4 linked regions of the Astyanax mexicanus genome follow. The protein of the gene in region 3 purifies or fractionates together with the protein of the main gene of each other region. This does not show direct contact. Links are inferred from orthologs where the notes say so. Each region holds a gene or a part of one and is shown on either strand. Other genes may lie near its edges.

The links.
Region 1: the proteins of psmb1 (region 3) and psme1 purify together in Homo sapiens (affinity purification with mass spectrometry; 4 studies listed by BioGRID and IntAct, counting the BioPlex papers as one, with this or other methods). This does not show direct contact. The link is inferred for Astyanax mexicanus from reciprocal best matches to the Homo sapiens genes PSMB1 and PSME1.
Region 2: the proteins of psmb1 (region 3) and psme3 fractionate together in Homo sapiens (co-fractionation; 3 studies listed by BioGRID and IntAct, with this or other methods). This does not show direct contact. The link is inferred for Astyanax mexicanus from reciprocal best matches to the Homo sapiens genes PSMB1 and PSME3.
Region 4: the proteins of psmb1 (region 3) and fbxo7 purify together in Homo sapiens (affinity purification with mass spectrometry; 3 studies listed by BioGRID and IntAct, counting the BioPlex papers as one, with this or other methods). This does not show direct contact. The link is inferred for Astyanax mexicanus from reciprocal best matches to the Homo sapiens genes PSMB1 and FBXO7.

What each region holds. Positions count from the first base shown.
Region 1 is NC_064413.1:749,402-757,646, forward strand, and holds the start of psme1 (proteasome activator complex subunit 1), read right to left. Parts: upstream 3,194-8,245; 5' UTR 3,039-3,193; coding exon 3,000-3,038; intron 1,793-2,999; coding exon 1,760-1,792; intron 1,649-1,759; coding exon 1,586-1,648; intron 1,399-1,585; coding exon 1,297-1,398; intron 1,130-1,296; coding exon 1,078-1,129; intron 276-1,077; coding exon 175-275; intron 1-174. Other genes in the region: transcriptional regulator ATRX, read right to left, coding at 4,957-6,345. UniProt on the Homo sapiens protein: Implicated in immunoproteasome assembly and required for efficient antigen processing. The PA28 activator complex enhances the generation of class I binding peptides by altering the cleavage pattern of the proteasome.
Region 2 is NC_064422.1:28,879,592-28,886,825, forward strand, and holds the start of psme3 (proteasome activator complex subunit 3), read right to left. Parts: upstream 3,033-7,234; 5' UTR 2,909-3,032; coding exon 2,867-2,908; intron 1,445-2,866; coding exon 1,412-1,444; intron 1,322-1,411; coding exon 1,259-1,321; intron 1,170-1,258; coding exon 1,065-1,169; intron 889-1,064; coding exon 840-888; intron 760-839; coding exon 641-759; intron 547-640; coding exon 478-546; intron 270-477; coding exon 202-269; intron 4-201; coding exon 1-3. Other genes in the region: nbr1a (NBR1 autophagy cargo receptor a), read left to right, coding at 4,177-4,278, 4,748-4,810, 6,148-6,166, 6,314-6,336, 6,509-6,691, 6,854-6,931. UniProt on the Homo sapiens protein: Subunit of the 11S REG-gamma (also called PA28-gamma) proteasome regulator, a doughnut-shaped homoheptamer which associates with the proteasome. 11S REG-gamma activates the trypsin-like catalytic subunit of the proteasome but inhibits the chymotrypsin-like and postglutamyl-preferring (PGPH) subunits.
Region 3 is NC_064414.1:16,613,273-16,621,562, reverse strand, and holds the start of psmb1 (proteasome subunit beta type-1), read right to left. Parts: upstream 3,159-8,290; 5' UTR 3,098-3,158; coding exon 2,988-3,097; intron 1,857-2,987; coding exon 1,749-1,856; intron 1,661-1,748; coding exon 1,579-1,660; intron 1,143-1,578; coding exon 1,013-1,142; intron 912-1,012; coding exon 805-911; intron 1-804. Other genes in the region: p53 apoptosis effector related to PMP-22, read left to right, coding at 7,735-7,939. UniProt on the Homo sapiens protein: Non-catalytic component of the 20S core proteasome complex involved in the proteolytic degradation of most intracellular proteins. This complex plays numerous essential roles within the cell by associating with different regulatory particles.
Region 4 is NC_064409.1:44,922,374-44,929,888, reverse strand, and holds the start of fbxo7 (F-box only protein 7), read right to left. Parts: upstream 3,148-7,515; 5' UTR 3,050-3,147; intron 968-3,049; 5' UTR 967-967; coding exon 845-966; intron 654-844; coding exon 410-653; intron 1-409. Other genes in the region: uncharacterized protein LOC125798983, read right to left, coding at 4,822-5,673, 5,842-6,153. UniProt on the Homo sapiens protein: Substrate recognition component of a SCF (SKP1-CUL1-F-box protein) E3 ubiquitin-protein ligase complex which mediates the ubiquitination and subsequent proteasomal degradation of target proteins and plays a role in several biological processes such as cell cycle, cell proliferation, or maintenance of chromosome stability.

The sequences.
Region 1 (8,245 bases), on a different chromosome or scaffold from region 3:
ACTGATTCAGAAACTGAAGTGATCTCTTCATTTTTTACACAGTTGTAGGTTGAAAAGGATTTGCAAATCATTGTAGTCCGTTTTTATTTTTTACACAACACCCAAACTTCATATATATATAATATTAAGATTATACTTATATACCTAATACTATAAATGAGAAGAGTCACTTACAGTGTTGAGATTTTCTTTCAGAGTCTGAATGTGAGGCTTAATTTCTTTGATGAGACTCTCGACTTTCTCATTAACAGCAATCGGACCACAGAGAGGACCAGCTAAACCAATAAAAAAACAATCCTGTTAACATTTGAGCATGAAGAGTGCAATAAGAGATAACCACTACACAATCTAACACTCTTATTCTTAATAGTTATATAAAAACTTATATATCAGATATTTTATTTGTTAATTTGGACAACGTTTTTACATTCAAAACAGCATAAAGGCACTTATCAATAATAACTTATTGTTATATATACTTATTGACAGGATTAGTTTCTCAGGGGGCGTCTGTGAAAAATATTTCACACTTCTACTCTTTAGTGATAAAACTCCTGGAGCCGGACTGCAGTTGTAAAAACAGGAGGATCAGTGTTTTTTTTCTCGGTCCTCCATTTCCACTCGCTGTTGTGTTTTTTTTTAACGTGGATCTCTGTAGAAACCGTGGCTCCCAAAGTGTAATTACGGTGCACGGCAGTGAACAAATATCTATTTTTTTAAAGGCGAGGAGACGAAACTCAGAGATGTGCGTCCGGACGGGACTAAAATTACCGGAGGAGCACGGAGTTCAAACAGTAGATAATTCAGCCTGTAATTTTCTCAGAGGACGTCTGAGAAATAAAACACCTACATGATCGTTCTGGACAGGAATAAAATCACAGAGGATAGAAAAACCCATAAAAGAGAAAATTACCCCAGAACCCCCTGAGAAACTAGAAACTAATCCTGTCCAGATAGGGCTTAAGTCGATGTATGGATTTGCATTCATTTTAAAAATATAAGATGAAATTTATCACATGTAATGAGTTGTAAGTGCAGCTTTAACTGTGTCCAGTATCAGAGCAAGATATACTTTACCTTCCTCCTCTTCTTTATCTCCTTTGTCTTTCTTTCCATCCTTTCCTTCTTTCTGTGTGAAAGATAAAACTTACAATGCTTTATCTATCAATATCCATTAACATCCATTATGCCACAGTTAGTTCTGACCCTGCAATGTGATTCGCTGAGAGGTCATCAGTATCTCTGAGGAACTGGTAGATTTTTAATGTCTGGTCTGGATGTAAATAAATACTCTACCTCACTTTTCTTCTTCTTCTTCAGCTCCTCTTTGGCGGGGTCCGGGATCGGGATGTCCAGAGGAGCCCTGAGAGCAGACAGGTCCTCTGAACCCAGGGAGGCCTAAAATCAATAACAGATATATATATATATATATATATATATATATATATATATATATATATATATATATATATATATATTTATATATATATATATATATATATATATATATCTGTAGTTCTATCTGCAGTTATGATATCATATCATAATCTTTCAGAAGCTAAAGTATCAGAACCAGACACTTTACCTGCAACAGGTTGTCCATCTTGGCAATCATCTGCGGGAAGAAACTTGAGACCAGCTGCTCTGCCTGTGCCAGAGAGGAGAAATGAGAGGAGTCTGAGACTGAGATACTTGTGAAAAAAAAAATATATATATTTTTTTTATTTGGGAGAGTCTACAAACCAAGAAAACGCTTTACCTCTTTAATGGACTTCTTAGTGAATCCATCAACCTGTAAAATACATAAATAATTAAATAAATGCTAACATGAACGTCATACTGTTATATTGTGTTATTGTTCTTACAGAGGATCATCAGATTTAAAGTAGAGAAGTTCAAAGTAATGTTAAGAGACAGTACAGAAATAAAAAAAAAGAGTTAAAAGTAATAAAAATAACATCTTTACATTTTATAATGACCCTGTAATTCTTATGCTTTACTGAAAAAAAAAACTAGCTTGATCTTTCCAAACACATTCTGATTAACAACATTAAAAAAATAAAAAAATGTTCTATTTTTTCTGGATGTTTAGAGCAAAAATGAACAGTTCTGACCTATATCTACATACACACGTGCACACAACTGTTGGTGCCCCTCGGTTAATTAAAGAAAAACCCACAAAGGTATCAGAAACAACTTGAATCTTATAAAAGTAATAATAAATATAAATTCTATGAAAATGAACAGATGAAAGTCAGATATTCTGTTTTAACCATGCTTTAAAAAAATAACTTATGAAACAGGCCTGGACAGAAGTCATGGAACATTTAAAGTTATCCAAAGGCAGTGTGTAAGACTGGTGAACATGGAGAACATGATTCCAAGATCAGCCCTATATTTAGCTAATTACAGTGGACACACCTTGATTTAACATGTCCCTTTGGTCACATAATTTAATAAATTAAAAGTTTATTTTTTTAATTTAAATCATTCTATTCAAAATCAACATTGGACTTTCATTGGTTTATTTTCATAGAATTTTTTATTTATTATATTACTTTGATCAGATTCGAATTATTTCAGTGACTATTCTGGGTTTTTCCTTCATTAACCCAGGGGTACCAACAATTTTGTCCACGTGTGTGTATAATTTTAGTGAGATTATAAGAACATGGGTAGATATTACTGCAAACATATATATTTTTAATATAGTTCTCTGATTTTATTATAAATACATTAAAAAAACGTGATTGCATGTTTTATAAATGTATCTTGGACGTCTCTGTTTGTATTGTGTGTGTGTGTTTTTTTTTAGAAATAAGTAAAAGAAAAGATAAAAAGTAAAAAGTATTATTGTTGTTATATAAAGAAAAGCTAGAGTATTTTGCAGGCCTGGAGTATAGGAGATAAGAGGTAATGCAGTATAAAGAAGAGCTGTAATAAAAATGGAGTATCTGAGTTTTCAGGCCTACAGTGACTAACCAAAATCCACAGCTCACCTCTTTCTTAGACGCAGGGCTCATATCCATAGAAGTCATTTCTGTGCAGGTAAAGTTCAGGTGTAGCTACAGGTAAAATTCTGCTCACTACTGAAACTCTGACTGTGAAATTTAGTAAAAATATAATTTATCCTCGACGATCAAACGACGAGGCGCGAGACTGAGAGAACAGGGTGAAAGTGAAACTAAATCGAGTTGTATTTAATCAGTAATTCCCATCCCAGCCGCGAGAGGAGAGCGGACTCTTAATTTGAAATTACAAAATTAAAGTCTGAACTTTTTCGAACAAACTGCGCACCCAAACAAACCAAGCTGGAATTTTACTTAGAATCAACGTTAAAATGTGGTTAAAGTAATGTCTGTTGTTGCTTCAGCGTTGAAACAACGTTGAATCAACGTTTAATGTTAAATGGTTGTGCTAATATTGAAATTTTAATGTTGAATCAATATAATGTCCTCAACCTTCTTCCTTTTAAATCAGCATTTTACATTTCATCACCATATAACGTTCATTTCTAAAAACGTTTGGATGGAGAAATTAAAAAGTGTTTTATTTCTATTTGCAGTAACTGTTTTTATTTATTTAACACCATGTTCATGTTCTAATAGTTTTACTGTTTTAGTGTTTTACTGTTTTTGATGTTCGATGTCAGATGTTCAGTAATTAGATTGGTAGTGGTGGTGGGTATAAACTTTCTTTATACTCTGTATTTACTGCAGTAATCTAAGTTTATTGTTAACACTGTTCACCATAGGATTTTCTCATTTTAGTAAGCTAAGGTTGAACGTATGACGTTGAAACAACGTTGTCATATCAACGCCGATTCACTTTTCAAAATCAACACCAAATCCAACCTTGATTCAACCATAACATCAAGGTTGTTCAACGTTGAAATGCCAGCGGGGATGGTTTATTAAGGTTGAACGTTTAACGTTGAAACAACTGCTATTTCAACGTTAATTCACTTTTTAAAATCAATTCCAGCATTTATTCAATGTTGAAATGCCAGCTGGAAACGTTGATGTTATGGTTGAATCAACGTTGGATTTGGTGTTCAATTTGAAAAGTAAAACACAGTTGAAAGGACAACATTGTTTCAATGTCGTTTCATCAACCTTTAATAAACCATAGGCGTTTTGGAGATACAGCTGAGCCTCACCTTGCTGGTTAGCGAGAGCAGCCGAGCCTGGGTTGCCAGGTCCAACAAAAATATCCAGCTGAAAGTCAGTCCTTGGAAATGCCTTTTGGAAATAAGGTTATTTTATTTATTTATTATACTCACTTACATATTGAATATGAACTTGTTTTCTTTGCATTATTTGAGGTCTGAAAGCTCTGCATCTTTTTTGTTATTTCAGTCATTTCTCATTTTCTGTAAATAAATGCTCTAAATGAGAATATTTTTATTTGGAATTTGGGAGAAATGTTGTCTGTAGTTTATAGAATAAAACAACAATGTTCATTTTACTCAAACATAAACCTATAAATAGTAAAATCAGAGAAACTGGAGTGGTCTCTTATGTTTTTCCAGAGCTGTAGTAGAAAGCTTTCTTTGCACAATAGAAACAGTTACTCCAATAGAAGCAGGATAAACTTTTTTTAATAAGTTTGGAAAAAAAATATATAGATATATATAAATCACCATCACAATTTCCCAGTACTTTCACTCATATTTACACATACACACAAACACCCAGCCAACAGGCTTCCACATAATTCCACATTCTACACATCATGTCTTGTGCGCTGCACTTAAAAACACTGATATAAAAACACACACAAACACACACACACACAGCTACAATAAATTAAGGCAACTTAATCCAAACGGATTTTGGAATCAGAAGTGCAATCCTTTTAGAAAACAAAACAAATACAGTATATAAAGTATATAAAGAGCACAGTACAGTAGATGCTATCATTGGAACAGTGCATTGTGTATCTGGTCAGCTCCTTTTAGTGAAGGCCATTCTGCTCAATGTACATTCTGGACAGGGACGCTGCCATGGATTTGGCCAGTTCCTCATCGCGTTTGCGCTGAACCTGCGTGTGACGGTACCAGTCGTCGTACTCGGGGTTGGGCTGGCATTGGTCCAGCAGCACGTCGTAATGTCCGTTGCTCAGCCAACTCAACCAAATGGCTGGTTTGGACAGGTCTTCTTCTCCCAGGTAGTGCGTCATGGTTGACACGGTAGGGCTTTCCAGACTGCCTCCAGTGGTCAGGTAAATGTTGACATTCAGCATCTGAGTCATGGCAAGAAGCTCGGGATATCCGGCCCAGGCCCCGTCCTGCGCCGCGTTGATCAAAAACTCGCCCACGTCGCCTTCGATGATGGGGCTGAATTCATCGAGGTGGTCGGCGATGTGGTAGAGCGTCTGCTCTCGGAGATCTTTGTGCATGGACTGGTCTCCGTACACGGCTTTAGAGACTGCTCGGTAAAGGCAGTTTCCATCAGGGATGATGTGGAAACGGTACCTCCTCTTGTCCTGGAGGTACTTGTTCTGCTTGTCCACCTCTGCCAGGTATTGGCTCACTTTGTCGTTAAGGCTGGAGCTGCTGCTGCTGCTGCTGGTCTTATTGTTGACCACGGTTGGGGGCGAATCTTGGAGAATCTTGAGTTCGAAGACTGGGTCTTTGTCGTATTCGTACTCTTCGGTTGGCTGTCGCTCTAATGGAACTCTGGTTGAGTCTTTGCTTTTGATTGGGTAGAACGACTTTTCTTCTTCATCTTCTTCATATTCTTCTTCGTTGTCTTCTTGTTCTTGTTGTTCATCTTCCTCTTCTTCTTTACTTGTGTCTTTTGACGCAACACTTTGTGAAGAACCTTGTGACGACTGTTGCTGTTGAGTCGTCGCATCGTTGATGGCGATACACAAGCCTACTGGTTCCTCTTCATCCTTAGACTCAGATGCTCTGCAAATATTTCTAATAATTCCTGGCAAGCTCTCATATATTGAAACATCCTCGCGTGTTGATGATTGATGATGATTGGTCAATCCAGGTTTTTTACTAGACCCATTCTCTGTTGTAGATCCCAGAAGGTCTAGATGACTCCCTTGCTTCACTAGATGAATTGGAACAGATCTCTCCACTCCATCAGGCCGGGTTATGATGATTTCAGCTCTGGATGTGAACAAATGCGGCCTCATGGAAGCAGCAGTGTCGTAACAGGCGAAGGCAGGCATGTTTCCAGCCAACGGTTCCTCTGCGTTCTGGAAGTTAGCGGCTTTAGCAGAGCTGGAGTCTTCGGCAGATGGCTTGCTGCCGCTGCTGGTGCTGATAGTTATCAGAACTTTCTGAGAGAGAGGAGGGTAGTGTGTGAGGGCACTGCTGTACAGATGCATTTTTCCTCCAGCCTCTCCTTTATATATACGCCCGTGTTACGGAGAGATGACAACACGGCCAAAAATACTCCCAGTCATGGAGAGAGAGCTGTGGGGGCTTCTTCCCTCCTTCCCTCCTTCCCCCCGTCACTCAGGAGCCATTCCTGGGCCGTGGCGTCAGAAAACACCCCTTCCTACATCACCCCGCTTATTTATAGAAGGGGGCAAAGCAGAAACAGGACACTGGGTCCGGTGCTGGTCCAGCCCCGCCTGGTCTGGAGCTTCTGGAGTTCTCTCTGCAGTTGGTGGTGTTGAAACACAGAGCTGGAGAAGAAGAATGCGAGACATGAGCTCACCACGCCCATAAGGAAGTCCTGCCTCACACTCACACAGAGAAACAACCAACCCCCCCAACCCCAGTCTTTCTGACACAGGGCACTGAAACATTGAAACAGGACCCCCCCCTCCCCTCTGTCCAGCCCCCCAACAGGAATTCTGCTGCTGACCTTCCCTCTTTCTGCATGACATCACCACCCTCTGATTCACTGAGCTGATCCCATTTACCCTATAAGGGACATGACTCATCTGGAAGAAGCCAAACAGAAGATACTATTTACCACAACAATCAATTAATCAGTCGTTATTATGACCCGCATTATCAATCGAGTCGAGTATGTTTAAAAAAAAACAGGGAATTAAAAAGAAAAATTCTAAAAAATAAATAAATAAATAAAACATTACATTATCCTTTATTATGGCACGCATTATCAATAGAGCCGAGCATGTTAAAATAAATAAATAAATAAATAAACATTATTTATTATTATGACGTCTATTATCAGTAGATTAGAGCATGTACAAAAAAACAGGAATGAAAAAGAAAATTCTAAGAAATAAATATATATATATATATATATATATACACAAAACAATTTAACCCATTAGACTAAGCGGCTCAATCATGTATTTATCTTATTGTGGGAACATGACTAAACTTTATAAGATATTTCCTTTATAACATTATAAGATATTTAGGAAAAATTTTGCTAAAAGTTAGATCTGAGACTAACTAATATAATTTATTCATTTATAAATTAACAATAAAGTAAATCAAAAAATAATAAATGAATGTACATTAATAAAATCAGGTAAAACTGATACAGCCGTGAGTTGAGTTTTAATGTTTCCTGTAATAAGGATGAGCAGGTGATGAGCGTTCATCCACAGATAAACTCTGTACGGGACACATGTGACATAAGACCCCACTCTCACCCCAATAAGTCTCCATCATACTAACTTTGTGAGTCACTAATATATATATATATATATACATATGACATTTTCTTCTTTGTAAAAGTGGATCCAAATTTTAGCTTTAAAAGTGAAAATACAATTAACTGCTTGTATTTTATGCAAAACAAATATCACATTGTCAAATAGATATAATTGAGGATTAAAAAAAAATGTATATAAATTTTAAAGAACTATATAATATAATCCACAATGCCACTGCTAATATGTATATAAATGAATGCTGTTTGTAATATTAGTATCAGTAAATAACTCCTACTACTATTTACTATGATGTTAAGTGGTTGAGGTGGTTTCCCAGACAATTCCCATTGCAATGGTTGATAAGAGTTTACTGTTTGGATGCTATAGTGTTGCTATAGTATCTAGGTTGGTTGCTTTGGTTTCCAAAAATTGTTACTATGACATCCCATGTGATTGCTCTGGTGATGTTAGGTTGTACAGTTGGGTTCTACAGTGAGGCATTTCAGGCATTTATCATAAAATTATGTTGATTGGTGGTTGCCAGGGAGTTGTAAGGTGGTTGCCATGATGTTGTTATTTGTCATATTCGCTTACCAATAATTCTAATGTGTACAGTTGTATAAAAGTGACGTCACTTAACAGATCA
Region 2 (7,234 bases), on a different chromosome or scaffold from region 3:
TATCTATATATTTAAAAGACAGAGAGAGAGAGAGAGAGAGAGAGAGAGAGAGAGAGAGAGAAAAAAAAGACACTTAACCACATCTGCACAAAATTGAGGGATATGTGCATTACAAAGCCATATGCTTTTCCACAAGCAGGGTAGTAAAACAACAAACGTTGAAACATCTGTGCATAAACAGCGTGGAGATACTGACAGTACCTTGATATCTGGTCTAGGTAAGATGCTGCCTCTCCCTCCACTGTTCTGAGTTCAGCCACAGTCTCCTCCTGCAAGAGTTGACAGACAGTTTAAACTCCAACTCTACACTACTTTTGCTGTTTAAAATTGTAAACAGTTCCTTAATGTCTTTACAAAGAGAAATAAAAGTAATAGCCGTCAACTAAACGTGACCATCCACTTTTCTCAATTCACTTTTTTTGTTATTACAGCATCATCAGGCTGCAACCAGGTGTTCAAAATATTTTTAAAAAGTACCTGGATTGAAACCCCAAAGTTGTTGCCATCTTCTATTCTTGGAATTAACAATTGTACCCACATTTTTACCTAGAAAACAAACAAAAAGCTGATAAGTTGCAGAATGAACACAAAAGATCCCAAGTGTGACAATTCTTGCTCATAAGGTAAAACCTAGACCTACCGTGTTGCATTTCTCTATGAGGGTTCTGATTTCAGGCTTAACCTTCTCAATAAGGTCTACTAGTTTGCCGTTGCTTTTCATCATTCCACCAGGCATTACATAGACCTTGGTCCCGCCAACTACATATAAGAAGAGGCCACATTGTGACAACAGCTACAAATTCACCAAAAACAACGACACTTTATTTAGCAGAACTTACCTTTGTCATCTCCTGGACCATCCTCAAGTTTTCTTTTTTTGGCATTTTGCTGTTGATTGAATGAATAGTGATTATTTACTGTGCATTCCCCGAAGTTACACCTAGAAAGATTTAACAAAATGTTCTATTCTTTAGAAAATGGTGACATATAATTCGACTCTTTTAGTAGAAAAGGCCTCAAATCAATTAATAAAAATGTCTCTAATCTCTAAGTCAATTTCTTACCCCTTCAAGACCGTCATGGATGTCTGTAAGTAGAATTGGATCTGGCACAGTCAGATTGATCTCAGAATGGATTTCTTTCAGTTCACGGATGTTTATGAGAGGATCCTGAAAATTGAAACAAATCATATTACTTGCTAAAAATAAAAATACAGAACAAATCGCACAATAAACAAGCTGTTTAAAATCAAAAGTACCTTGAGAAACTGGTCCAGTTCTAACAATTTCTTAGGGAAAAAGTTTGCAACCAGATCTTCGGCCTAAAGGTGATATTAAGACATTTTTAGAAGAAATTAACCGAAGTGTTTACATGCCATCTTTCAAAGTTGTGTAAAGTTAGATAAACTCACCTCTCCTGTGATTCGTTCTCTGAAAACATCAACCTGTAAAGGCAAAAAAGAAAGATTACCTTCTATAAATTCTAACACAATACCTACGAGACAACTGCTTTACACAAAACAGGTGATTAATTTAGCAAGGACCAACTCTTGGCCTTTAGTTCCACGGCTAGCTAGCTATGCTAAGTAGCTCAAAGTAAACTTCGGTATATAGGTGGGTAATTAAGCAAACACTGGCCTTATCAGATGGCTAGCTAGCATGTTTACAAGCGATAATTCCCCAGGCAGAGAGAAACAAATGAAGGCATGTGTTAGACTGAGTATAGCAAGTATGGCCATTTGCCCATCTCCCATTGCACATTTATCTCCAGCACTTTGTGTAATGCAGTAACGTACTGTTAAAAACTAACGATTAGTCGACAATAAAATTTGTAGTCGACAAATTGAAAATAATCGACATTATCGATTATCGTTGCAGCCCTAGTAAACGTCCAGTTAAACCTCTTCATATCAGAGATTCTACTAGTATAAATGCATTGCAGAGATCTGTAATTTGAATTTTAACTGTCTGGTAAAAAATGAGTTGTTTGGCTGGTGTGTTTTAAGGATTGAACGGCTTTTAGCCATAGCGGCTAACTGAATGGAGCCGGTGTTTTGGCGAGGTGTGCTACCTCGTCAAACCTTGCTACCCCAGTGTAGCTAACTATATATATATATATATATATATATATATATATATATATATAAAAGGTAAAAATACACACAAAAAAGCACAACATTAGAACATGCTTGCGGCAGAAATATGTTAGCATATTTAGATGTGCTACCTGAATCACTCTACCAAGTAAATTAAAATAGCTACAAGAAAAGATTAGAAACCATATTTTATTTTTTAATAGTTTATGAAAATAAATATATTTTTAATTGTCGCCTTTAACACTGCTGCAACAAGAGCAAATAATGATAGTGAGCTCTGGATGTTTAAAGTAAATGGGGAAAAAACAGAATTAACAAAGAAAAAACCTCCAAGATATGTAAAAAAAAAAATGAAAACGTTTAAAAATGAGTCAGCGCATGCGCATTGTTAATGGTAACACGTATGGATGGATAGCACAACACGACAAAACACCGGCGAGCCTGAGACCACATGCTAGCTAGATAAAAAGTCACAGCGGGAATTCAGTGATTCACCTCAAGCTGAGAAAGCTTTTACCAAACAAAAAGCCCTAAACGTGTCCGAACTCACGGCCATCTACCAATTTAACAGCCGGCCCGCGCTGTGTCTAACCGGGGAGCTGCTGGGCTCCGGCGCGGGAAAGTTAGGTAGCGATAGTTACTGAGGTTAGCTATGCAGTTCTCCCGCTGCACCGGCTCCGCTGCTCCACATCGAGTAAGCTAACGGCTAACGAAGGGCCTAACGCCGCTCTCCCGCACTGACACCGCTATAAAGGAGAGGAACGCGCTTACCTTTGACTTGATTTCACTGTCCACTTTTAAAAGCGAAGACATGTTTCTGGATCAGTAACGATAAAAAGCCGCGGATTGTCTGAACAGCGCTAACCCAACGTGTGGCTTTTACTGCTGACTGTCAGCCACAAGGTGCTCGCGCGCTCCGAGATGACGTTCAGAAATGAGCGACAGGGTTGCCAGATTGAGACAAGTGTTCCTAAAGGCGCTCAGTAGGGAGAAACATGTTTATTTCAGTAATTAAGTTCAAAATGTGAAACTCATATAATATATAGACGTTTTACACACAGAATGGTCTATTTTTAGGTTTATTTATTTAATTGTTGATGATTACGGCCTACAAAAATCCGAGACACAAAACTCAGTGTCTCAGTATATCAGACTATTCTCAATTCTCAATCACCCAATCTGGCAACACTGATGAGCTTCATACATTTGTTTTCTGCCAACATGTTTATTTAATCCCACCAAAAATTGTGAAAAACCACCCAAAAACAAAACTAGGAATGTTCCGCATATTAACAGTATTAAAATATTTAAATCAACAGAGAAAACTCTAAAAATGTACCGATTTTCAAGAAACTTGCAAGAAATAAAAGAAGGATCTACTCGTGCAAACTCAAAATAAGCTTTTTAGTCAAACTTCTGGCAACTGGGTTTATAAAGCAATACCGTTTATTGTATGTATATATGAATAAATATTTCAACCTGCATGCATTATTACTCACCAGCCCAACAGAGTCCACCCAGTTTGGCGTAAAATAGCCCGATTTTTGAGATCCTAACATATACATATATAATCTAGTAAAACAATTATATTAAATTTGAACACTATTTAAATGCTACATCGTTTAATTATTTTTTTAAAAACACATTCGCCCAATCTGGCAACACTGATGTGCGACCGAATGACAAGTCACCGCCAAACACGCATGCGCAAAACCCGCCCCGCCCCCTCTACATATCCTATATAATTTAATAAGAGTTTATTTTACATTTAGGGTTAAATCCTGTTATTCTGTTGATTTTAGATTAAATGTGTTCTAATGGTTTAAACAGCCCAGAAAACAGGCGGCGGTGAGAGGAGAAGCAGCGCTGGGGCTCTTCCTGTTACGTGGATGTGGGGGAGTGTACGAGTTAAACGATGTAAACAAGAACGGGCAGACGGAGAGACGGAGCGAGAGACAGACAGTTAGACACACAGACAGAAAGAGGGAGAGAGGGAGAAAGATAACGCTGGATCCGCCGCCGTGAATCTCAGCGTCCCTATCCTACCGATTACTCCCCCCACCCAGTCCCGGCTGAAGACGATGAATCACCCCGTCACCGTTAAAGTGAATTTCCGAGGCAGTGTGAAGAAGTTGCCGGTGGTGGACGCGGAGAAGGCGCAGTGGGAGACGGTGGAGGCCTGGGTAAGGCCGAGGCGCAGGCCCACATAAACAAACCCAGACAGGAGGACGATAGCCCGCTAAGTTCGCTCCACAGCACCTTCGCTTCTACATGTTTCCTTTGTGGTGTTCATTAACAGGCTCTAGTGTAGATAAATTAGCAGTCTGACAGTGTTAGCCAGCCTGAGAAAATGCGGCTGTGTCGTTATTGTCACCTGGCCTCCGTGGCCTCGGTCTCCAGGTGACAATGACATTTAAGACAGAATCGTTTATAGATAGTAGCTAGCTTTAGCTGATGTTATTTTCTCAGTGTTATTCTTCTTCTTATTGTTGCTGTTTTGTCATTTATTCTTCGCTCTTACTTAACTAACCTAGCTAACGTAGGTTATCTTGTTAGCTCACTACCTAGATTAACTAGCTAGCTAACTACCTACCCTTTGTGCTGTCATTTCCTCCTGTTAGCTAATTCCCTTAATTCTCTAATTGCCTTTAGATTAAAACGACTTTTGGATTATGCCATTTTCAAGTGAAGTATTTTGACGAGGACAACGAAGAGGTAAGCAGTACGTTAGCTAGGTTAAATAACCTGGCTACCTGATGTTATGGTCATGTTATGATTTGACCATGTTAATGCTTCTATCATAGTAACTGACAAAAATTAGAAAAGTTAAAATGATATCAAAATAATGTTTTTTAGTCTTTATTACATACATTATTTGATAATAAATTATCATCGAAATTATCATCATGAAAGCTGATTTTTATATTATGTGGTTTATGAAAAAATAGTATTGAATTTAGCTATGTTCAGTAAGTGTATGAAAATGTATCTGTGTATGATAATTGATTATGTATGTGTTGTTTCTAAAATCATTTATAATTTAAAACTACTGTATAAAAAACGTGTAAACTGTACTGTTTTTTCACAGTTCTATACATTACCTATTGTGTGGTAGTGTGGGTAACCACATACAGCTCTGGGGAAAAAAAAGAGACCACTTCAGTTTCTGTGGATTTGCTATTTATATGTATATGTTTGGTGCAAAAATTTGGTTTGATGGCTAGTGATAAAAAAATCAAAGAAACTCTGGTCTCTTATTTTTTCAGAGCTGTGTGGTTTGTTAAACAGAAATATATATATATATATATCTGTGTATGATAATTGATTATTTATGTGCTGTGTCTAAAATAATTTATAATGTAAAAATACAGCATTAAAAATCACAATGAAAACTGTACTGTTCTATAGCTACATTACCTATTGTGTGGTGGTGTGGTAAAACACATATATAAAATTAACACAAATCTATAAAAAAAAGCTTTAATAGATCCAAGCAGACTTGTATGAACCAACAAACAAATGATTTATTAATTTACTAACTTTCATATAATAATGATTTTATTGACTTTATTATTGAACAGATAACATACAAATATCAGATGTTATAAATACCTAACTGGGTTCAGAAGTTAAACTGAATTTCGAGCGAGCAGCTATAAATGTAGTCGAATACGTATGTTAAAGAAAATAAGAGCAAGAGAAATATATAAAGAATAAATGTTTATCTATTAAAGCAGTGTTGGGAATGTGTAGTTCACCAAAAGGTAAAAAAGATGAACAACATTTAAAACTGATGAATGATCATTATTACCTCAAATGTGTGTTTGATGTTTCTGTTTTTATTTGTCAGTACATTGTATAACAGCAAATTGTAGATTACTTATGTAAAAAGGAAGGGCAATATATAATAAATATAATATCTTTTTTTAGTCTGTATTTGTTTTTGTTTGCCATGCATATAAATTTGCTGTTGTGTTTCTTTTTGTTTATACATTTTTTTCTTTCTTTCTTATGTGTATATATATTTTTGCGAAACCGAAATAAACTTCTAGATATCCATAAACAGTCAAGGTAGGTGATTTATGTTGCCATATTTTATTTATCTAAGTAATTATAAATCCTGTTTAATCCTTGGCTGTATGGGGTAAATGTGGTATGTCTTTTTAAGTGCCGTTTAAATTTATTCATAATATTTTTAAAACATTTTTCTTTCACCAGATGAGTATATGGAGGCTCTGAAGGTAAGAACTCGTCATTTCTAATTTTACACTTTGGGTTATAACAGCTGGTGGTGGGTTAGAGGACTATGCATAATTGGTGTTTATAATAAAATATGTTTAATGCATTTTAATTGTCTCTTACCTTTAAAAGACTACAACATCAAACAGTTTTGAATCTTAATGTTCTCTTTAGAGTGCATTTAAGCAAGCCAACCAGCTTCACATGAACGTGTATAAGATGAAGGGCCAGGCTGAAGGTGGGGCTGTTAAGGCGGAAGGTAAAGAAATCAAAATAGACCCCAGACCTGCTCCGCCATATCGGGCCAGAGTAAAAGTGGCCGACAAGGAAACACAAGTGACCCCTGAGCGGGACTCGGTAAGGACTCGGATTTGAATTAAATTGTACTGTGCATGATGTTTAGTACGAGATATACATATGCCTTTTTTCTTTTTTTTTTTTCTTTTTTCTTTTTCTTTTTTTTTTTTTTTTACAATTTTTCAATTTCATTGTTTGATTGTGCTTATTATTTGTTTGTAGGTGGTTGTGAAAGAAAACAAAGTGACCAAAGTTGAAGAGGAGGCAGTCCCTGCATGGTTCAAATCTTACATGGACAGAGTATGTATGGACTTGATTCTATATATTATTCACTGTGGTTCTGATTTCATTATTGAGAATCCACCAAGTTAACTTTGTGTTTATATATAGACAGTAGTGAGACTGTGTTGTACAATACGTTTACCATAATTAAATGTCCCTTTTAAGAAATTGAAATACGTGGCCTTTCTTATTGACTATTTTTATGAATTGAGGACATAAAACAATTATAACGATAACTAATAAATGATTCTTCTGTTAAGCAATCTAGTTGGTTAATAGTAGACTAAAAGATAAAGTTACCATGAACAGCACAATGCTTTT
Region 3 (8,290 bases):
AACATATTTTAATTGTTTATTATACAAAATTAATTTGTCTAATAAGAGGAGTTTGTGTGTTTAAAAGTCTATATTTACATAAAGCTTAAGCCTTAATTTTTCCAACAGAAAAAAAGAGAGATTTCTGCCTTTATACATGCATAAACACACTCTTGTAGTTGGCTCCTAAAAAACAGACCACATGTTTTGAAAATACAAAAACAAACTGTGGGAATTAGAAGTTGGGTTGCAGTTTTTATTTTTAGCTCTTGTTATCAGCACGTCTGGTGCCGGATGGTGTAGAAAATGCATTAACAAATGTTTCTAAAACCATTCCCCACACAGTAGATTTTATAAAAAGGGGTTGCTTCCACTTGCCAAACTTAGCCAATACTTTAAGCACTACAGTTAGCACAGCAGGCTAAGCGAGTTACATGTTGCTAAAAACAACTGTGTTCATCTAAAGTTCTCAGGTGCAACTCGGCTGTGAACTTGGTTCCACATTACCTTCAGTGGTTCTCGCATGTTCCTACAGATGACATGTATCGTGTATTCTGTGTGAACCAGCCTGTGACCCCCCCCCCCCCCCCCCCCGTACTGTGACGGATCGTAAAGTATGTGTGTACATTTACTCCCCAAACCTTTAACATAGCTTAACGGATCTATGCATGAATAAAGGCAGAATTTGTTTTAATCACACGTTAAAGTTTACAAATTAAAAATTTAACAAAAAGATACATGTATTAAGAGAATATCTGAATAACATTGCCTGTGTTAAAGACTTTCTGTTGTGTGTATCTAAATAAATAATTTTAGCTAATTCACCTGGTTGTCAAGCAGTGGCTGCAGCATTGCACTTGCCGATCCTCCGGCTTTGTAAGAATCCCTCTGATAAGATCCAACAGGATCAAAACTGTATACCGCACCACGACCTTGAATGGGAAAAGTTAAAGATTAAATAAAAAGACACTGAGTATTATAGGTAGGAGTTTAAAATGGATCTGAGAAAATTTTACCTTCTTGAGAAGCTTACCTTCCTCATCCAGTCCACCGATGATGTTGTAAACGTAGTATGGGAAAAATCGCCTTCCATACAGAATCGTTGACAGCATGGCAGCAATGGCTCCACTTGTCATGGACTTGTTGTTTGCATGTTTGTACATCTGTAGAGGGAGACCACACCATTCTTTTTTTGGGCACCATTTACATTATTTTTCCCCTCAACACAAGAGAAAAAAAAAAAAAAAAAATTATATATATATATATATATATATATATATATATATATATATATATAAAAATCATTACAATGCTAATTTTTGTCATAATAGGTCAGGGACTGTGGACATTTTTTATTCATCTTCTATTTGGATAAATAGTTTATTGACAAAAACACTACTTTTTAATAGTGCATTTCTACATATATTTTATGTGTTTTTTTCAACCTGCCAACAAACACAAAGAATATACCAGGACACTATGCTGGGCTCATGTGTCTTGGGTCTTGTCTAAGGAATGATAGTTAAGGTAAGTGAAACTTGTGTATTGGTGGTTTGAATATCAAACCAGTCTCAGATGTAGAGGTGAAAGTAATCGTACCTTCAGTCTTGCATCAATGATTTTGGTCAGTGTCAAACAGTCACCATGGAAACCACTGCAGCCAATCACTGTCGTGTCCGTCCTGTGAAAGCAGACCATATTAGCATAACTTTGTTTACTTCACACAACAGGGATCTACATAGATGAAAACAAAAGCTGTGCACACTTACAGTTTATAGCATTTTGGGGAATCCCGGCTATGGATTGAATAGCCCTCACTTAAACGAGTATCTGAGGCCACAAGAGCAAAATCTTCCCCAGCAACCGCCAGCACAGTCCTGCAACACAACATTTACAGTATGAAATCAGACACACAACCCAGACACACTCAGGTTTTACACAACGCTTTAAATAAATGAGATGAATTAACAGCTGATGTTTGATATCAGAATGATGTTATTAATGGTTTAATATTGTTGTAAGTTCTGCTGTATGATGTGTACATTACTCTGCTTTCCAATTATTTGTATTACCGATTCTGTCCTTGTTTTCCTGCATAGCATAAAGGTTGGGTTGATATGTGTTCTCTGAAATGATAGAGCTCCATCCAATACTTAAAGATGGGATGAGTTGGTGATCATCATCCAACATCCCGACCTCAATAATGCTCTTGTAACTGAATTAAATCACATCCTCATCCTCACTATAACGTTCCAAAACTTAGTGAAAACTCTTCCCTGGACAGTAGAGACAATAAGTAGAACCAAAAAAAGGAGAGTAAAAACAATTCAGTAGAAACAACTGATTAAGCAGGTGTCCCTGTATAATGTAATAAACACAGTGAGGAGAGTTTTAAAATATAAGACTAAGATAAGTTAACTAAATAACGATAGTTACAGTAAACAGGTATTCAGGGTGGGTTTAATCTCTTGTAATTATTAAAACTGAACTGAAAGTTGACTCTACATTAGAGCTGAACAATATTCTCTTTTCTGCCTAGTCATCGCAATGTACACTAGCGCAATACTTACATTACAGTGTTTTGTGAAATATATAACCTATATTTAAAGGGTTTTTTTTTGCTAATTGATCAAGAAAAATCCACACTGTTGATACTTCTCATTATAATATCTACCAGCTTACAGTGATATCTACCCAACATCATTTATGTTACTCCAGTCACTGAAGCACAGATTGAGTTATTAATATTATAACACTTTATTGATAACCGGCGAGTCTCCTGGTGAGCTACAGGCGGAGAGGAGAGGAGAGCTGGAGTCGGGCTGAGAGAGAAAGAGACTTTACAGCAGCTCACTGAAGCAGAACCGAGTCTAACTGGACCTGTGAGCCGGAGACCGGGTAAATTAAACCCGCAGCATCGGTTCAGCGGCAACTCCAGAACCGGCTCTCTCTATAACTACAGCTCTAATAGCAGTTATATTCTGGATGTAAAGTTGTGGTCCTCTTACCCTCCGTTGAAGGCGTACGGGGAGAACTTGTGCTGGGTGGCGGCGGCGGTGGCGGCATTGCGGGGCTGCATGGTGCCGGACTGCGGGGCTCGGAGCTGCGCGGAAATCATCTCTAACCGAACCGAAACCCGCTGTATCACTGCAACATGGCGGACGGAAGTTGATATCGCTCTTTTCCGGTGACGCGAAGCACTTGTAATCAGTTCTTTCTATTTCAGAAATAGCTTTAATAAGATCCTGTTATTATTAACCTGTTATTAACATCGTTATTGGATAAACACCCAATCATCCATTACTCCGGATATCGATGGGGATTTAACAGGGCTGAGATGGTCTGGGGGCTCGCGGCGCTGTGTCTCCCGGGCGGCAGGGGGCGCTGCTGCAGGAGCGCCTCCTCCACTATAGCACTGACCGCTAGAGGGAGTCCGCGAGCCGGCGCTCAGTGAGTGGAGGTGGATGATGCTGAACTCTGAGCCTGTATAACTGGGAGACACAGCGCCGCGAGCCCCCAGACCATCTCAGCCCTGTTAAATCCCCATCGATATCCGGAGTAATGGATGATTGGGTGTTTATCTGTGACTGAAATGGTTCCCTACTCCCTCATTAGTGTTGCGCTTTATAGCGAGAGACTGTGTACTTCACTAAAGTGAATTCGGACACGCCCTCATCATTCTGAAACACGGACACCAAAAACAACAGAACTGTGTTTAAAACTACATAAACACACGAACTGAGCTCTAAATTAAAGTTAGTGAATAGTGATAATGGAGGAATCGCTCTGTTATATTTACACTGTTTACAAACATAATCCATTAATAAACTAAATGGCAGACATCCCAAGATAACACCAAAAGATAACGAAACTTTACTTTTATATTAATTAATTTTACTTTTTTTTTTTTTTAATTAAATTTAGAGTATTTAGAGGTGAAATGAGTTTTAACGTTTTTCTTTTTGGAAGGCCCTGCCTCTGCTTTCCTTTTTTTTTTTTTTTTTTTTTTTTTGAAAAACAAAAACAAAAGCCTTTATTTGACAAACATTGACAGTTACAATATCACAGAAAATTGCACAACATCCAAAACATTCCATATCATATTAAAATAATTATTAATATTGCCTCCGCCATGATCTGCTTTCTCTCACTAACTGAACCGTCTGGAAGGGGGGAAAAACACTGCCCGCCCACACTAAAAACTGAGGCCAATCAGAACCCTCTCTGTTTTCTCTCTCTCTTTCCCCCACACGATTAGAGAAAAAAGTCTGTCGGACGGTGGCCGAGAAAGCCCAACGCAGTGCAAATTGAAAAGCGCTGCAAAAGCACAAAACACATCCATCAAAATTACAACACAGGCGCAGCAAATAGAAAAACGCGCTGCAAATAAAAAAACGCGCTGCAAATAGAAAAACGCGCTGCAAATAGAACCACAACACAACGGAAGTCAGTCACAACACAACGGAATTTCCCGGGGGACCTTAAAAGATACTGGACCAGCTAAGCTGCGTCTTCAGTAACGTCTCGGACTTCACTATGTGTAAAAAGGACAATAAGTGGCAAACAAGGCGTTTTGTGAAGCAGAACTTTTAATAATATGCACACAACCATGGTAATCACAGGTAATAAACATAACTTACTTTTCAGAAGCTTGTTTGCCACTTATTGTCCTTTGTACACAGCTGGTACAGCATCTTTTGAGGTCCCCCGGGAAAATTCCGTTGTGTTGTGACTCACTTCCGTTGTGTTGTGGTTGTATTTACAGCGTGTTTTTCTATTTGCAGCGCGTTTTTCTATTTGCTGCGCCTGTGTTGTAATTTTGATGGATGTGTTTTGTGCTTTTGCAGCGCTTTTCAATTTGCACTGCGTTGAGCTTTCTCGGCCACCATACTGTCGCCTGTGTGCGCGTTTGCGTGCAGTGCGCGTTTGGGGCACTCGTTCTGAATTGCGGGAGATTATATGTGACTCGTGGGCATCAGCATGGGCGTGGTAGTGGGGGGAAAAGTGGACCTGACTACCCAGGGCCCGAGTAGGGAGAGGGGCCCATGAAAATCCTGATTTTTTTTTCGCTCACTTTCCTTTGTTTACTGGCATGGATAGGGGCCCATTAACATAGAGGGTGTACAGGGCCCAGAATTTGCTGCTACGCCCCTGGGCATCAGGGAGCCACTACCTAAATGCGGGAGACTCCCGCAGCTTCAGGGAGACTTGGTTTGTCTGAAATGGAGAAACATCTGAAACTACCAAGTGTTATGACTTTGGAAATTTAAATAATCAGTGATGGAGATTCAAATACGCTGTGTTTGTGTTGATTATTATGTTTTCATGTAAGTCATGAAGTCATTTTTTGCGAGTTTATTTGTATGTACTGTATTTACTTTTCTTTCATTCATGTGTCCTATCATACAATGCACAAACACATAATACAAATAATTTAAATAACATTTTATTGTAATTAATGATATTTAAGATATTTAAGGTATTTTATTTAAGGTCATGTTGGAATAAACCCTGTGATACTGTAAATATGCTGAACATCAGCTGTCTGGCTGTTTTTCTTTGCATTTATGCAGATTTTAAACACATTTTACCCATTGACTTTTATCTGAATCCCACTGTAACAATTTGGCAACCCTGGTGGCTCGCTGTCCACTCAGTTTGTTCGGCTGTCTGTTGCTTTGCAGTGAGAATCGCAATGCATTCTGGGACACATTCAGCTTGATTTGTAAGCAGCAATGTTTACTTTAAATCCTGATGCATTATGGGGGTTTATTGTGCCCTAAAACCCAATCTATTTCGCTCTCATGATTCTGACACACTCAATAATGCCCTAAATAATTAATAGGGAGTCATTTCGGTCACAGTTTTAAACTCTGGTTATACCACAGTTAATTCTGACCCTACAATGTGATTGGCTAAGAAGTGTTCTATGAGTGCCGTTATCAGCCGGTAATGCACTGTAACCGAAGTTCGCCATGTATTACTCCACCACATACAGGTAACCTAGCAACGATACAGCACCGATACAAACAGAGCAGAAATGGAACCATTTTAACTCACGGAGTGTTTATAACCAAACAGATTGTATTTTCTCATCCTCTTTAATTTAAAATCTTTCAATAAACAGCAATAATGGAACAGCGGTATAATCCCAATAATACACTCGAGGTTTGTGCTATAAAGTGTAATATTGGCTAAGTATAAGTATAAGTACTCCTTCATCAGTAATCCTACCTCTTAAATTTCTTTAACCATTTTCTTTCAAATTAGAGATGTGTTTTTAGCTTTTTGTTCAGTTGTCAAATGGAGCTTTTCAGCCCAAACATTTGCCGGAAGCTTCATTACCTGAAACCTCACTGAATCCATTTTACTACTAACACCTGCTGTGCACAGGCTGTGTTTACTAATATAATCCTTATCCAGAGTATCCTAAAAAGTTTTTGAATAAAATATACACTATATACAATATTTTTATTCTTGACATATTTAGCCCCTATTTTTTCTGATGTTTTTGATACATTTCTACATGACCAAAATTCCACAAAAAAATGTAGCACAGTGCAGCCGAGTGCTTTTAGGATGTTTAATTAGAGTATTGGTATGAGCTCTTATCATTTTGAACAACCAACCTGGATATACGGACAGACCAGCTACACCATTAAATTAAAATCAAAGGACATCATATGCTGTGCTAGAGCTACTCAACCAGAGGTAGAGAGCACCGACCTCCATACCACAGCAACCGACAGAGATACCACAGCAATCCACACATATACCACAGCAACCCACACAGATACCACAACAACCTACACAGCTACCACAGCAACCAGTACAGACCTGGGGTGCCCAAATTTAAGCACCTGCCTAATTTTGTTTAAAGAATTATTGCACCCTTCTGTAAATCCTATGAACTTCATTTCACTTCTCAAATATCACTGTGTTTGTCTGCAATATGATATGTTTAACTAAACTATATGAACAACCAATGATTTATAAACAAAATCATGAACAAAATCATGAATCACAGCAAAACATAAAGATACCACAGCAACTCACAGATACCACAGCAACCCGTGCAGATACCACATCAACCTATGCAGACACCACAGCAACCCCTACAGATACCACAACAACCCACGCAGATGACAGCGTCTCATGCAGATGCCACAGTAACCCATGCAGATACCACAGCACCCCACACAGCTACCACAGCAGATAACGTGGTTTCCCAGCTAACACAGAATAAAAATGTGTGTAAAAAATGAACATTCCCAAAACTAAAAATCTAAACATTGACACAAGTGACGATGCAGTGACATTACCAGAATGTTTAACAACTAACGTCAGTTCTTAGAAACATGCAGGACAAAAAAATCAATATGCAAAATCTGATTTCTTTTGACTTAAATCTGGATCTGTCATGAATCTGATTTGGGTTAGCAGTCTGAACACAAACTTTTGGAGATGTACTGCAAAAACAAAGGCAGGAAAGTAAACGCGCCCCTCCCTTTCAGCGCCCCTCCCACACGGCCCCCGCCCTCCCCGGCTCCTGCCCGGCAGAGCCGAGCCCTGCTCAGGTTTCAGGTGGGAGGAGCTGCTCGGTTCTGTAGTTTAGGGTCGGCCGGATTCTGAGAGCCACAGAAAGGACTCTGGACTCCGGGCGCTGAGCACACACTACTCCCTCACTCACACAGACTCACTCCTGCACTCTCTCTCTGTCTCTCTCGGTCCTGCTCCCTCTCTCCGGGTGTCGGTATGTTCCGCTGTGGGATCGCGTACCCGCGCTGCCGGTGGATCCTCCCGCTGCTGCTGCTGTTCGCGCTGATCTTCGACATCATCGCCATCGCGGCGCAGTCCGGCTGGGTGGAGGACGAGAACGCCAAGTCCCATTACGCCAGCATGTGGGAGCAGTGCCGCGGCCGCAACGACAACTGGACCTGCTGGTCCCTGATGGAGAACTGTGAGTACCTGGGCCCGGCCCGCGGGTTAAACACCGCAGTAAGAACCGAGTAACTTTACTTTACTGAGCGGATCTACTGATCAAACAGGGTGTGGAGCTGGTGGTGGAGGGGAGGGGGGGACTCAACAAGTCAGACCAACAACATTCACCTAACTTAACATTTACTACAGCTCAGACCAACAACACTAACACACCAAAACAGATTTAACTCACTAAATCAACAGAAATGTCCTCTAAAATGAGAAGAAGAAAAAAGTTTGTTTGGTAATAATCCAACTTTGTTTTAATAGCTATAACCTTTCACACTTATCAGATTACAGTTCTAGCTAATTGTAGCTATTAGGTATTGAT
Region 4 (7,515 bases), on a different chromosome or scaffold from region 3:
TGTTGTCCGTCGTTTATAGAATGAAATGTTCATTTTACTCAAACATATACATATAAATAGCAAAATCAGAGAAACTGATTCAGAAACTGAAGTGGTCTCTTAATTGTTCCAGAGCTGTATGTATAATTTTGCACATAATTTGGTTACATTAACACTGTACAGATGATTATATTTTACTCATTCAAAGTTTAAAAAGTATAAAATATATTATTTACATATAGTCAAGTGCCAAGTTTTACCAGATTCCACAAACCACATATTTGATTCAAATCTAGAAACACTTTAACCTGACCCACATCTGTCAATTGTTTAAATGCCTCTTTAATGTGGACAAATCTATATCAGAACATGTAATAACATTACACAGATTTGATTTGATCATATCTGTCTGACAGATAACAGTACTCACCACTTGACTGGAGCTTTGCATGGCTGATACAGTGTGACTCTGACTCTGCTGTTTGTTCAGCTGATCTGTTGCTCTGTTGTGAGTCTGAGAAGTAGAGGGCTGTGGCGGGGCGGAGTCAGCAATGCTCTGAGGCAAAATCACACTGATCATGTCTCCGGACACCACCCCACACGAGGACAGCGTCTGCCCAGTGTCCACCAGCGACTCCTTCCCATTCAGAGACAGACTGAACTCTGTATCAGCACTGCATGAAGAATGAACATGTGCATGAATCAAAGGAGCTTTATACTCAGCACTTATGCAAATGACTGTGACCTTATGAAACTCCGTTCAGCAGCCAATGCATTTTGGTCATATCACACAATCAACAGTATATCTACCATTTAAAAGACAAAAACATTGAAAATGTTTACTGTGGCTATAAAAGGCACTTACCTGAAACCGATTGAGGGCAACAACACCTCCTTCACTTGGATACTGAGCTCAGTCAGTGTGGGCTCTGCTTCTTCCAGCTCCACACGGCTGGTCTGCTTGTTAATTCTCACCCTTAACTTCATACTGTACAAAGGAAAATTACATTAAAGTCATTGACAGCTAAATTGAGAAGACAATAACCATTTTTTATCAATATAATCACTTACACAGTACCAATCAAACATTTGGACACACATGTGTTTTCTTTCTTTTCTATAACATCTGAAATTATTTTGTAAACAAAAATGGTTAAACAAACCAGAATATGTTTTATACTTAAGATATCCTAAATATCCATATTTAGCTTTAAGTACAGATTTGCACACTTTGTTTTTTTATGTTATTATCAGTGAATTTATGAGGCAGGGTTAGCTGGAATCGTTTTATAAGCATCTTGAAGGAGTTTCTGGAGGTGCTGAACAATAGTTGCTGCTTTTGTTCTCCAGCTCATCCCAAATCATCATCTCAGTTAGGTTTAGGTCAGGTGAGGCCAAACACTTTTATTGTTTACCATGTAATTCCATATGCGTCTCTTAGTTGTTTTAATGTTTTAATAAGAATATACACCTTAAAATTAATGAGAATGTGTGGCCAAACTTTTGACTGGTACTGTAAATGTATTATCGCCTCACTTAAACCTTATTCACCCTAAGTGCAAGACTGAAGACTGTAGACTGAAAACATTTAAATTTGACACTAAAAGATTAGAGAGAAAAAAATCTACATTTTAACTTTTATTTCCAAGTATTTACATCTAGATCTGGTACATTGCATAAATATTATCCATAGCCAGGACAACTTTCCTGCAGAAGAAGTCATCACTGGTGTACTAAACAACATAGGATAAACAGGTAGAACAAGCAAAAAACACAGCAGTTGACGGAAACATTTAGAGAGCTGTAAAGACAACCACTTAAAGAAAACCTCTAAAACAACCTTTAGTGACATCAGCAACAACCTCCAGAGGGCGGAAGTGAAGGTATCACAATTTACTGTTCACCGAAGACTTTGTGAACAAAAGTATTTAGGCATCACCAGATAATACAAACCACTATTAATTTGTTATTTACCAAGCAGTACAAAGACACTCCTATGGACTGATGAAACAACGATTAACCTTTACCAATGTGATGGAAGGCTAGTGTGGAGAAAGAAAGTATCTAAACATGATTCCAAACATACCAGCTCATCTGTAAAACACAGTGGAAGTAGTGTCATGATTCTTGTTCATTGATGTACAATTAAATCAGAAGTCTACAGAAAAATGTTAATTTAAAGAAAGATGAAACCAAACTGTTTGGGAGAACCTTCATTATGCAACTAGATAATGACCCAAAATCCACTGCCTGGAAAGCGAATGATTTGCAACCTAACATTAAGTATGTTTCACTTTAATTGACTTTAAGTTTATCTGTTCCAATATTTTTGCTCACAAGAAAAATGTGTGGGTTCAAACAGAAGACGCTATCTTCTGAACTGTGTACTGAACTGTATACTTGTGGAGGGCACTGTATATAAAAGACATTAATGAACACATATGCAGTATACATAAAAAGACCCTTACACAAAGAATTTTTTTGTTTGTCTAACACGTTTTGGTTTGGAAATAATGGAACTCAAAAGAGTGAAGTTGGTGGGGTGTACCCAAAGAGACACAGGACGTCCTACTAAACTCAAGGACAATAAAATGTTAGCTGTTTGAATTCAATGTGATGTTTCAATGTTTTCTAGTAAACAAATACTGTAGAATTAATTAACTATGTAACGCTAGCCAATGTAACTAGCTAACCCTAGCTTAGCTCATTTGAGAAAGTGGAGTAACGTTAGGCGTGTGGAGATGAGCTTTCCTTAGGATTTGTCTGAGTATCACACAACACATACAGCAGCCTTGCTCTCTTTTACCAATGTTTTATCATTGTTATATCTGAAGTCCTGTGTGGTCTGCGTTATTCTTGTCGTTCTGTAAAGACTGACATGATTCTGTCACATTCACTTTACACAGCAGCGGGGGTTCACTCGATAAACAGTTTTTTAGCTAAGCTAACTAACTAGCTTGTCGAAGTTGCAGCAGATTGATTAGCTAAAATTGCGCCGTTCTGTCCGAATAGACCTAAAACTCTGTTACTCGGGTAGATTTACTGTATCGCTAACATTAGTTAACATTACCTGAAGTGTGTTGATACAGACGTCACTGTGCTGAGAGCCTGCAGGCGGAGATGGTTTTGGTTTTGTAAGTAACCGGTGTTTTTCAAAATAAAAGTCCAGCGTCGAGTTGACGTACGTGGACAATGTGTCAGCAATATTTAATGACGTTCAGCTCTGGAAAAATAAAAGAGAGCCATTTAGTTTCTCTGATTTTGCTATTTATAGGTATATGTTTGAGTAAAATGAACATTGTTGTTTTATTCTTTAACCTACGGACAACATTTCTCCCAAATTCCAAATAAAAATATTGTCATTTAGAGCATTTATTTGCAAAAAAATGAGAAATGGCTGAAATAAAAAAGCAGAATTTCAGACCTCAAATAATGCAAAGAAAACAAATAACTCTGGTTTTCGATCACAGTTTTCATGCATCTTGACATGTTTTCCTCCACCAGTCTTACACGCTGCTCTTGGATAAATTTATGTCACTCAAGTCACTTTTTTATGAAAACTGGAATCATTTTATTTTAGTTGGTCAACTACTTGAATCAAATAGTAGACCATACAGTTATATTGACCTAATTAATAAATACAAAATTGACAAGTACTCTACAGTGATAATACTCTACAGTGATAAATGCTATACCAGTTGGTGCAAATTTACTGCTGAGAGGTGTAAACTTTCCTTGTCACTCACTTGTATGCTTTCAGCTAAACACCAGCAAAATAATAAGCTGATAAGAGAATTATTTCAGAAAGACATTGCTACAATTCCTTAAGTAATATCATTTTGGAATAGTATTATATAGTAGAGTGTATAGTGTGGTCTTTACCTTTAAAATATTTAATTTCTAACAAAGTGAGAGAAATTAGGCTGAAATTAATATATAACATTTTCTTTTAAAGATTTTCTTTTAAAATATAAGTGTGATATGGAAACTGACCGCTAATTTTGTAAACGTGCTTCTGAAGATGTTACTTCTTGTTGCTTGCTATGGATATTTCATATCCATAAATGATATGTAAAAAAAAGTTTGGGAGAAGGACCACACCCAAACTCCACGCTCTAACTCCACCTCTTATCAATAAACCACCCTATAAATACCTGCTCTAACTACCTACTTTTCGTGACAAAAGTTTGCATCCCACCTTCGCCCCAACAACCTCCTGGTTGCTCATTATCAGCCTTTGTCTCAGCTTCTGTAGCAGTTACATCTTTTACCTTAGTTTCCTTCCTCTGTCTCTGCTGGGTCAGTGTCCAGTAGCAGGTTGGAAGCGTTTGATGCCTCATCCATAATGTGAGAGGCCTGATCTTCCTGAGGGCAGTGAACTCCTCCATCATCCACCAGTGTTTGGCAGCTTCTGATGCCTCATCCACAATGAGAGTGGCCTGGTCTTCCTTTTGGGGGCAGTGAACTCCTCCGTCTTCCACCACCAACTACATCACAATCGCGCAGAGTACAGGCTCCACTATCACCTCAGCTTCAGCCAGGTTGTTATGGTTGTTTTTTATGTAAACCTTTTTTATTTATTTATTTATTTTATTTAAGGGTATTTTTGTTTGTTTTTTTGTGGTTGATTTTTTATGTAATATTTTTTTGCTTGTTTTCTCATATTTAATTATTTTTGAGGTTGTTTTTTTTATTCTTTTCTGGAGTGTGCTACTGTACTTCACATACAAGACTTCAAAAGGACTAAAAGACCTAAAAAAGACCCCTTACACTGTAAATTTTGATTTATGCAGATTTATTTCTATTTTGCGTTGACACAAATCCACTTATTCCTACACTGTCCTACTTATACAGCCTCTTTCCTCGTTTTCCTAGTCTTCCTCGTCTTCGTAGTCTTCCTAGTCTTCGTAGTTTTTGTGATCTTCCTCGTCTCCCTCGTCTCTTATGCTTCTTTTTGGATTCAGCTTCGGGTCTGCATTCAGCCTCCGTCTCGGCTTCCTTAGTCTCTGCTGGGTCAGTGCCCAGTAGCAGGCTGGGAGCTTCTGGTGCCTCATCCATGATGAGAGTGGCCTGATCTTCCTCTTGTGGGCAGTCAACTCCTCCATCTTCCTCCAGTGTTTCCACCACACTCTCACAAAGCTCTGTATTAAAGGTCACCTCAGCTTCCTCTGACTCTGTTAAATAAGTGACCTGTAGCAGGCTGGGAGCTTCTGGTGCCTCATCCATGATGAGAGTGGCCTGATCTTCCTCTTGTGGGCAGTCAACTCCTCCATCTTCCTCCAGTGTTTCCACGACACTCTCACAAAGCTCTGTATTAAAGGTCACCTCAGCTTCCTCTGACTCTGTTAAATAAGTGACCTGTAGCAGGCTGGGAGCTTCTGGTGCCTCATCCATGATGAGAGTGGCCTGATCTTCTTCCTTGGGGCAGTCAACTCCTCCATCTTCCTCCAGTGTTTCCACCACACTCTCACAAAGCTCTGTATTAAGGGTCACCTCAGCTTCCTCTGACTCTGTTAAGTCAGTGACCTGTAGCAGGCTGAGAGCTTCTGGTGCCTCAACCATAATGAGAGTGGCCTGATCTTCTTCCTTGGGGCAGTCAACTCCTCCATCTTCCTCCAGTGTTTCCACCACACTCTCACAAAACTCTGTATTAAGGGTCACCTCAGCTTCCTCTGACTCTGTTAAGTCAGTGACCTGTAGCAGGCTGAGAGCTTCTGGTGCCTCATCCATGATGAGAGTGGTCTGATCTTCCTCTTGTGGGCAGTCAACTCCTCCATCTTCCACCAGTGTTTCCACCACACTCTCACAAAGCTCTGTATTAAGGGTCACCTCAGCTTCCTCTGACTCTGTTGAGTCAGTGACCTGTAGCAGGCTGAGAGCTTCTGGTGCCTCATCCATAATGAGAGTGACCTGATCTTCTTCCTTGGGGCAGTCAACTCCTCCATCTTCCTCCACCAACTCCATCACAGTCTCGGAGAGTACAGGTTCAACCATCGGCTCAGCCTGCCTCTCCTCCACCGTTTCAGGGTCTCCTTCCACTGGAGTGACCGTAGTCTCCTCCGTTGTCGTCGGCTTCTGTGTTCTGGATCGGTACAGGTAGTAAAGCGATCCACCGGCAGCTATAGCTAGAGCTGCAAGGCTGGCTGCTCCTAGTATCCCTCGAACTGCACACATGTTGTCGCTGCGAAGATCCGTTGACGACTGAAGTTTTTCGTGCTGCTGAGCCTTTTATAGTGTTGAACAGTGACGTCATATTTATATCCACAGCAGTAAAACTGTGATGTCATTGACATGAACGTTCCAAAGTAATAGCAATAAGCCAACAAACAATAAAAAAAAAACACATCCAAGTCCAAAATCTGATTAAAAATATCTACCAACTTTTTTTTTTATTGTAATCTTTTATTTTTTTGTTTTTAAAATGTAAATATTTATGTGGTTATTTTTTTGAGGGGGTGTTTTTTTATGGTTGTTTTTTATGTAAACTTTGGTCGTTTTTTAATATTTATTTTTTGAGGATTTTTTTTGCGGGTAGTTGTTTTATTTTTAGTTGTTTTGTGGATGATTTTTCATGTAATCTTCTTATTTTGCTTTTTTAATATTTGATTATTTTGTGGGGGGGGGGGGGGGTTTAGGTTTTTTTTATTGTTGTTTTTTAACGTAGTAGACTGATGCCAACTATGTTTTTTCGCTTTTTAAAGTTTAATTTTTTTGTGGTTGCTAAAACTATCCGGTTTATTTGTATTTTTCATAATTTAATATATCTATTTTTTATTTTGTTTAGATTTTTTAAAGAATCTTTTTATTTTTTAATTTGAATTATTATTATTTTTTTAAAAAAGCTCCAAATCTTTTTAACTTTAAGAGGACAAATCCGTTTCCATGTTGATTAGAATAAAAAAATAGATTGAATATTTTTATAGTTGATAAAAAATAAACAACAAACTGTGCTGAATTCCTCACTACTGCTGTAACGCGTTTTACTTCACACATGACAACAGTTTAGTTTTAACTATGTGTAACTATAAATAAATAAAATTTAAATAAAACAAAAGAAATGCTTTTCCCAGCTAACTAAAAAAGGTTCGCCAAAAAGTTGCAAGGGACGTTCTTATTGAACGTTTGTAGGACCACCAATAAACATTCAGAAGACTATTATGCGATGTTTAAACAAACATATTTAAACGTCTTTTATGGTCTTCCGTCCTTTAAACGTCTCTAATAATGCTAAGTTAAATTCTATCGTTTATTAGATTGTGGCATATAATAAACACAAGTAGATGCTGCAATCTGCTGTTTTTATTAAATATGAAAAGACATATTTCTCGTGTATTGCGATCAGGGCCGCCGCTCTGCATACGCAGACAACGCAGCCAGCGTTAGGCCTCAACCATTTTGCAGTTGCAGGGAGCCAAATTGACTGAGAATGAAATGTGTTGAAATTATGACATTATTAAATTTAAAACCCAATGTGAATTATTAATGATACGCTCATCTTTTTTGTCTTTAAACATTGCATGGGGCACCTACTCTACT